2 linked regions of the Saccharomyces cerevisiae S288C genome follow. The protein of the gene in region 1 binds, or shares a complex with, the protein of each later gene. Each region holds a gene or a part of one and is shown on either strand. Other genes may lie near its edges. A codon is read from its position in the direction of its gene.

Evidence for each region.
Region 2: the proteins of TIM10 (region 1) and TIM54 are in contact, whole or in part, in a cryo-EM structure (PDB 6LO8), measured with the Saccharomyces cerevisiae proteins. Residues at the interface, in NP_011869.1 of Saccharomyces cerevisiae: Glu53 (codon at 2,130), Leu54 (codon at 2,133), Asn55 (codon at 2,136), Lys56 (codon at 2,139), Asn57 (codon at 2,142), Ser59 (codon at 2,148), Ser60 (codon at 2,151), Arg64 (codon at 2,163); in NP_012481.3 of Saccharomyces cerevisiae: Leu73 (codon at 2,240), Ala74 (codon at 2,243), Glu75 (codon at 2,246), Glu76 (codon at 2,249), Ser77 (codon at 2,252), Tyr115 (codon at 2,366), Gly118 (codon at 2,375), Leu119 (codon at 2,378), Asp120 (codon at 2,381), Tyr121 (codon at 2,384).

The regions. Positions count from the first base shown.
Region 1 is NC_001140.6:115,085-117,874, reverse strand, and holds TIM10 (protein transporter TIM10), read left to right. Parts: upstream 1-1,973; coding exon 1,974-2,255; downstream 2,256-2,790. Other genes in the region: STP2 (Stp2p), read right to left, coding at 1-61. UniProt on the Saccharomyces cerevisiae protein: Mitochondrial intermembrane chaperone that participates in the import and insertion of multi-pass transmembrane proteins into the mitochondrial inner membrane.
Region 2 is NC_001142.9:332,242-336,201, forward strand, and holds TIM54 (Tim22-complex subunit TIM54), read left to right. Parts: upstream 1-2,023; coding exon 2,024-3,460; downstream 3,461-3,960. Other genes in the region: ZAP1 (Zap1p), read right to left, coding at 1-832; LOG1 (Log1p), read left to right, coding at 1,116-1,853; retromer subunit PEP8, read left to right, coding at 3,657-3,960. UniProt on the Saccharomyces cerevisiae protein: Essential component of the TIM22 complex, a complex that mediates the import and insertion of multi-pass transmembrane proteins into the mitochondrial inner membrane.

The sequences.
Region 1 (2,790 bases):
GGTAGTCATATATCCTTGTTAACACGCTGTTCCGTGTTGAAGATAGTGATAAGATAGGCATGATAATGGATTTCCTTACTTCCCCAACTTTTTGCTCTCTTGCATTTGTCTGTTTGTCGGATGATTAATCACTGTTTTTCATTTATTAATCATCGTTTTTCTCGCTTTTTGCCCGTATTGGAATGTGAAGAGAAAAAAAAAATGATAAGAATTCTAAAAAAAGATACTCTTCGTTCGAATGGATGACTCTAAGAAGGGTAACAGACTTTCAATCTTCAAATAACATTATAATCTCTATTCTAGCCCTTAGAGGAGCATGTCATGCGTTCAGAACCTCCATTAATAGCTTACTTTATAACTTTCTATCAGTCACAAGTTAAACGTCGACAATTTTTGTGGGAAATGGTCTGTTTTTTTTCTTCAGTTAATAAATCTCGTTCTTGACTGCAGGTAATTAATGGTATCGTGATCGTTACCTATGCTTACACACTATAAGAATTTTCTTCGTGAGAATTGGCCCATTTCTCTGGTTCTTCTGAAGAGAGTTTTGCTGACCATCAATCAGCTTTACGAAAATTTACCGCCCAATTTCTTGCCAAAATGCCATCCATATTCCCATTCATTGGAATTCTTTCACTATTTTATCATTTCAATGTTCTTTGTAGCAACAGGCTCTTCTTTTTCACGCTTACTGTGATCATTTGTTATAAGTGCTGGTATTTTCTCTCTTCTGGAATTCCGTGCTATTGATATCACGACATGTGCGCTTCTCATGATTTTGCCGCCCAAGGCACATTTTGCCGTCTGTTTTTAACCTAATATTTATGTCGCGGGTATATTATCATATATTGCGTAAGAGGATGGTATTGCTGATGGGAAGTGGTCAACAAATTCAATAGGCACTGAAATGTAAGGGCTGACAATGTAATTGGATAAAGAAAGGCAACACATGAAAGGAAGAAAAAAAAAACGTTATTTATTATTATGTAAAACTATTGACCTCACCTTTGTGATTCACGCTGTCCTCGTGAAAAAACTTTTTTTGTTTTTGTAGACCTAATAAAAGAACCTTTTTTAACAATGTCCTAACAATAATTTCAACAGTTGCCAAACCTCAAATAGTGTTGGAATAAAAATCCACTATCGTCTATCAACTAATAGTTATATTATCAATATATTATCATATACGGTGTTAAGATGATGACATAAGTTATGAGAAGCTGTCATCGATGTTAGAGGAAGCTGAAGTGCAAGGATTGATAATGTAATAGGATAATGAAACATATAAAACGGAATGAGGAATAATCGTGATATTAGTAAATAGAAATATAGATTCCATTTTGAGGATTCCTATATCCTCGAGGAGAACTTCTAGTATATTCTGTATACCTAATATTATAGCCTTTATCAAAAATGGAATCCCAACAATTATCTCAACATTCACCCATTTCTCAAATAGTATGTTTTGGTGTTAAAGAAGAACATTGGAAACAAAGGAAAGGTAAGCATTAGCCCGGAAACAAAACAAGAGGAAGTAATATACACCTTTTTGGTTAACTTGTTCGTTCAGAAGAGCCCAAGTATGTAATTATTTTTTGCAAATCTTTCCTCAGTAACGATAACGACACGAAGGTAATATTTTAAAACATTTATCAACAAGTCACTAAATATAATCTGGGTCCTATCACTATTAGAGCTTCTATGGCCAAGTTGGTAAGGCGCCACACTAGTAATGTGGAGATCATCGGTTCAAATCCGATTGGAAGCATTTTTTGCATTGATTTCCCAATTCGTAGCTGATGATCACCCTCTGAAGCTATCGGACATTTTTTTTCTTTAATTTTTTCAGCGAGAGAGCTGGCAGTGAACGTACAAGAGCAAGCTCTCTAAAGAACTATTACTCTCCTCGTTCCCCTCTCATGTCTTTTAACAGATAAACAAGCAAAAGAAGGAACTATCATACTTAGAAAAACATGTCTTTCTTAGGTTTCGGTGGTGGTCAGCCTCAATTATCATCTCAACAAAAGATTCAAGCTGCGGAAGCTGAACTAGATTTGGTCACAGACATGTTCAATAAATTGGTTAATAACTGTTATAAAAAATGTATCAATACTTCTTATTCCGAGGGTGAGCTGAATAAGAATGAATCTTCGTGCCTAGACAGATGTGTGGCCAAATATTTTGAGACCAATGTTCAAGTCGGTGAAAACATGCAGAAAATGGGCCAATCATTTAACGCAGCCGGTAAGTTTTAGAAATGTGCATTAAAGCAGTAATGATAAGACGAAAATAAGAAAAGAAATCCATAAGCTGTTTTACTCGACTCAACGTTATAATTAGTATTATTGATTCATATCCTGTATATACAAGTAACATTATACTCTTTTCTGTACTTCATCTTTACCTTTTTATCTTACATGGCACATGTTGTTTGAAAACAAGATCATAGGTGGATAAAGCAAGCCGAATCTAAAAAAAAAAAAATGTCTCTATTGGAAAACTGAATGCATAACGATATTCCCTTTTCATGCAGATAACACTGACTAGTTTCAATTTGAAACGCATCTTCGTGTTATTTCACCGAAACGCACTCGGCTCAGCATGTTAAAAAGCACATCAATTTAGGGCTCTGCGCGTCCTTCTGCGTATTCTTCCTTGTAGAAATGCAATTAAATGGAGAGCAGAAATTTTTTTGTTACATATTGTTTTCCTTAAAGGGAAATATTAAAAAATAGTCTAAAATGAAGAGGATAGTAGAATTCCACCAATTTCTTTACGTTTTATATTATT
Region 2 (3,960 bases), on another chromosome or scaffold:
TCAGCTGAGAAAAGCTATCTGGTACAGTATTATTGTGATTGTGAGAGTCGTGATTGGTACTATTACAGTACTGATCATGAAGGTTAAAATTTGGCATCAAGTGATCGTTCTTTACATCTGTGAATATTGCAACATCATTGCCGTTCTCAGATATGTCTTTCTTTGTCGGTTGATCAGATTCACCTTGTTTTATATTAGCCTCACTTTTGGGATGAGTTTCGTCACAACATATTTCCAAAATCTTGGGCGTACAATAACAATCATCGGATCCAGGTGGTGGGTTCGGTTTATTTTTCTTGGAAGAGGGCAGCAGTATCAGATCGTCGTTAAACCAAGAATCTTTTCTACGTGGTAGGTCGCTTTTAGAATTCTGTTGGGGACTTGTCGGATCAGAAGCTACCGAATGGAAATTGTTTGCAAAAGAATGATTATTAGAATTATACGTTGCAGTATCATTATATTTTGTTAATGACGGATTATTGTGATAATTCAAGAACTCGAAATGTTGGCAGTCGGTGTACTCCTTGCATTTCTCATTGACGTGGCAATCACCACCCATATCATGGCTAGCTCCAGATGCAAATGCGGAAGTAGCGGCATCAGCAACAGCTGCGGCTGCAGGTGTTGCCGAAGCACTACTGTCGTTCACAGGCGCGCTGTGGTGAAGGTGACCATGGATATAGGTCAGGTTGTTGTAGTTATGGATGTGCCCGTGGACAATGCCTTCTTTACCTATCGTCAGAGCATCAGGCTTGGCAGAAGCAGCAGTGGCCGCACTCGTGGCCATCGAGTCATCGCGCTTGGGGGAGTCCCTGGGAGTCAACGCATCCATTAGTTCCTATCCTTCTTCTATTTAAAAAACCGTAACACATAAAAAGTAAAAGTGTAATGCTTCCGTCTCGCCGCTGGCCTATATTCACAGTGACTGCAGTTGCATCTTATATTGCCAAGCACGTTTCATCATGACCTTTAGGGTAGATGACTGCTGTCAACTACTCCGTCTGCAGTGATATATAATCATGTTTTGGGCGTTTAAGGAAGGAGAATTATTTCCAACAGTTGAATAGGAAGATCCCTAGAGTAAATCGCAGGCAATCCAGTACTAAGAAACGGCGATGACAATGGAAAAAAATGGAGGTAATAGCAGCCGTGGTGGCCAAGTAGGCGGCAAGTCTGTGTGTGTTTACTGCGGGTCTTCATTTGGCGCTAAGGCGCTATACTCAGAAAGTGCAGAAGAATTAGGAGCCCTTTTCCATAAGCTGGGATGGAAATTGGTATACGGTGGAGGCACTACTGGTTTGATGGGCAAGATAGCAAGGTCTACGATGGGACCTGATTTAAGCGGACAGGTTCACGGTATCATTCCAAATGCACTTGTGTCTAAGGAAAGGACAGACGAGGATAAAGAAGATGTTAATAAAGCATTGTTGGAGTCTGTAGAAAATCATAAGGGCGCCACTCCTATTTCTGAAGAGTATGGGGAAACAACGATTGTACCAGATATGCATACGAGAAAAAGAATGATGGCAAATTTGAGTGACGCGTTTGTTGCTATGCCTGGTGGATACGGGACTTTTGAAGAAATCATGGAATGTATCACGTGGTCGCAACTGGGGATTCATAATAAACCAATTATCTTGTTCAATATCGATGGGTTCTATGACAAATTATTGGAGTTCCTCAAACACTCTATTCAAGAACGGTTCATCAGTGTGAAGAATGGTGAAATCATTCAAGTTGCCTCCACTCCGCAGGAAGTTGTTGATAAAATAGAGAAGTACGTCGTTCCAGAGGGCCGTTTCAATTTGAATTGGAGCGACGAAGGTCACGCTCACGAGGATTGTGCTAAATAATAGAAACGTAAGTCATGTATCTAGTTTAAACGATCTGTATAGATAATGTGGTGAAAAATCCAAATTTTTAGGAGCTGTCTTTCTAAGCCCGAAGGCTGGAAAAAATAGTACTGATGGCAAAGACATCATAGCTTTAAAGTCCATTGTTCTCAAAAGAAGCTCAATAGACCATGTCTTCTGAATCAGGAAAGCCTATTGCTAAGCCTATTAGGAAGCCTGGCTATACCAATCCGGCTTTAAAAGCCCTTGGTATACCCGCCTTGAGGCTGCCTTCTCGAAACTGGATGATCTTTTGGTCTGTGTTAACAGTATCCATCGGTGGCATAGCCTATGACAAATACAAGCAACGTCAGATTCTGAGCCATGCAACAGACTTGGTGAAGCCTTTGGCAGAGGAGTCCATGGAGGTAGACAAAGTGCCACGAAAGATCACTGTTTTTATTGCACCTCCTCCAAATGATTATCTGGAGAGTTCGTTGAAAGTTTGGAGACGATATGTTAAGCCTGTACTGTATTATGCAGGGTTGGACTATGAATTAGTTCAAGAGGATAGGCAAGGGATTATTAGAACTAATGTAGCCAACAGAATCAGAGAATTGAGAAAGGAAATATTGGCATCGACGGATGGGCAGCCAGTTAAAGAGCCTAACCAAACGGTAGCAAAACCAAGTGGTTCTTCAACCAGTAAAATTTCATCACTACTACCGTTCAATAAAATCATTCAAGATCCTGCTGAAGAAGATGACTCGTTTGATCCAGAAATCGGTAAAAAGTTCAAGGAGAACTTCGACTGGAGAAACGTTATAGGTATCTTCTATACAATGCCAAAACCGAAGCATATAATAAGTGAAGACGCCCTGACAAAGGACCCTATATTATCTGGTGGTGTTATTTGTTTAGGTAGAGGCGCCTATAAGGAGTACATTGCCGGTATTCACGAAGGCTTGCTTGGACCCATCGAGAAGACCGAAAAAACAGGATCCACTGAGCCTAAGATGACTGGGGTTGTAGAAGCAAATCAAATAGAATCAAAGGTAAGTGAATCCGGTGCTACGGAACTGGTGGATGCCGAGAAAGAGACTGCTTTGGAAGAGGCCAAAGTACAAGATGATCTAAAGGTTGATGAAGAAAACAGCTCAGAGGATTCGCAAAAATTTTTGAAGCCATTTATTTCTTCAGACCAATACCCTGACCTGCAAATCGCTTCGGAATTACAAACTCCAAATGGCGAATTCATAAGAAACCCCAATACAAATATCCCGCTTCTGATTAATCAGCCGTTATTGGTCATTCCAATACCTAACTTGATAGGTTTTACTACCATTCCAAGGAGAATACATCGTTTTTACCAGAAGCGTTTCTACGTAGAGGACGTGTGTTCAAGTGTAGTTAACTGTGTTCGACAAACCCGTATAAGACCGTTTGATATTGCAAAGGATATTGATTTGGCGAAGGACGAAGAAAAAGATTGGCCACAGAACTGGGTCAAACAGGGTAAAGAAAAGAACAGCGAATGGACCCAAGAATTAGTATGTGATCCTAGAATCACGAAGCATATGTTTGTTTACGAAAAACCACCCAAGGAAGAGCCAGAATCAGATATTTAATTGGATATATATTATGTTTTATCATCATGCACGATCGACGTTATGTCTGACATATACCAAACCCTTTTCGAAGATTTCCCTTTACTCATGTTGAAATAGTTTTTATATATGCACACATATACATATATATAAAATCTGTAAATATAATAAAATGTGTACATTGTAAAAGAATCCAAGCACAACTATTATTAGCATTATGAGTATTTTTTTCAAGCCGCCGATTGATATTGAGATCCTTTTCGATAATGAGGAATCTCGCAAACACGTAGACATTGCAACAAGATCAAGTAATTCCAGTTACAAATCAATGAAGGAAAGCTTGCCCGTCTATGAAGATGGCGAATCCCTTGGTGGAATTGTTACTTTGAGAGTTCGGGATAGTAAAAAGGTAGACCACTTGGGCATAAAAGTGTCCGTTATTGGATCCATTGATATGTTAAAATCTCATGGGAGCGGTAATTCATCTTCTAAAAAAGTTACCTCTAGCACATCATCTTCCT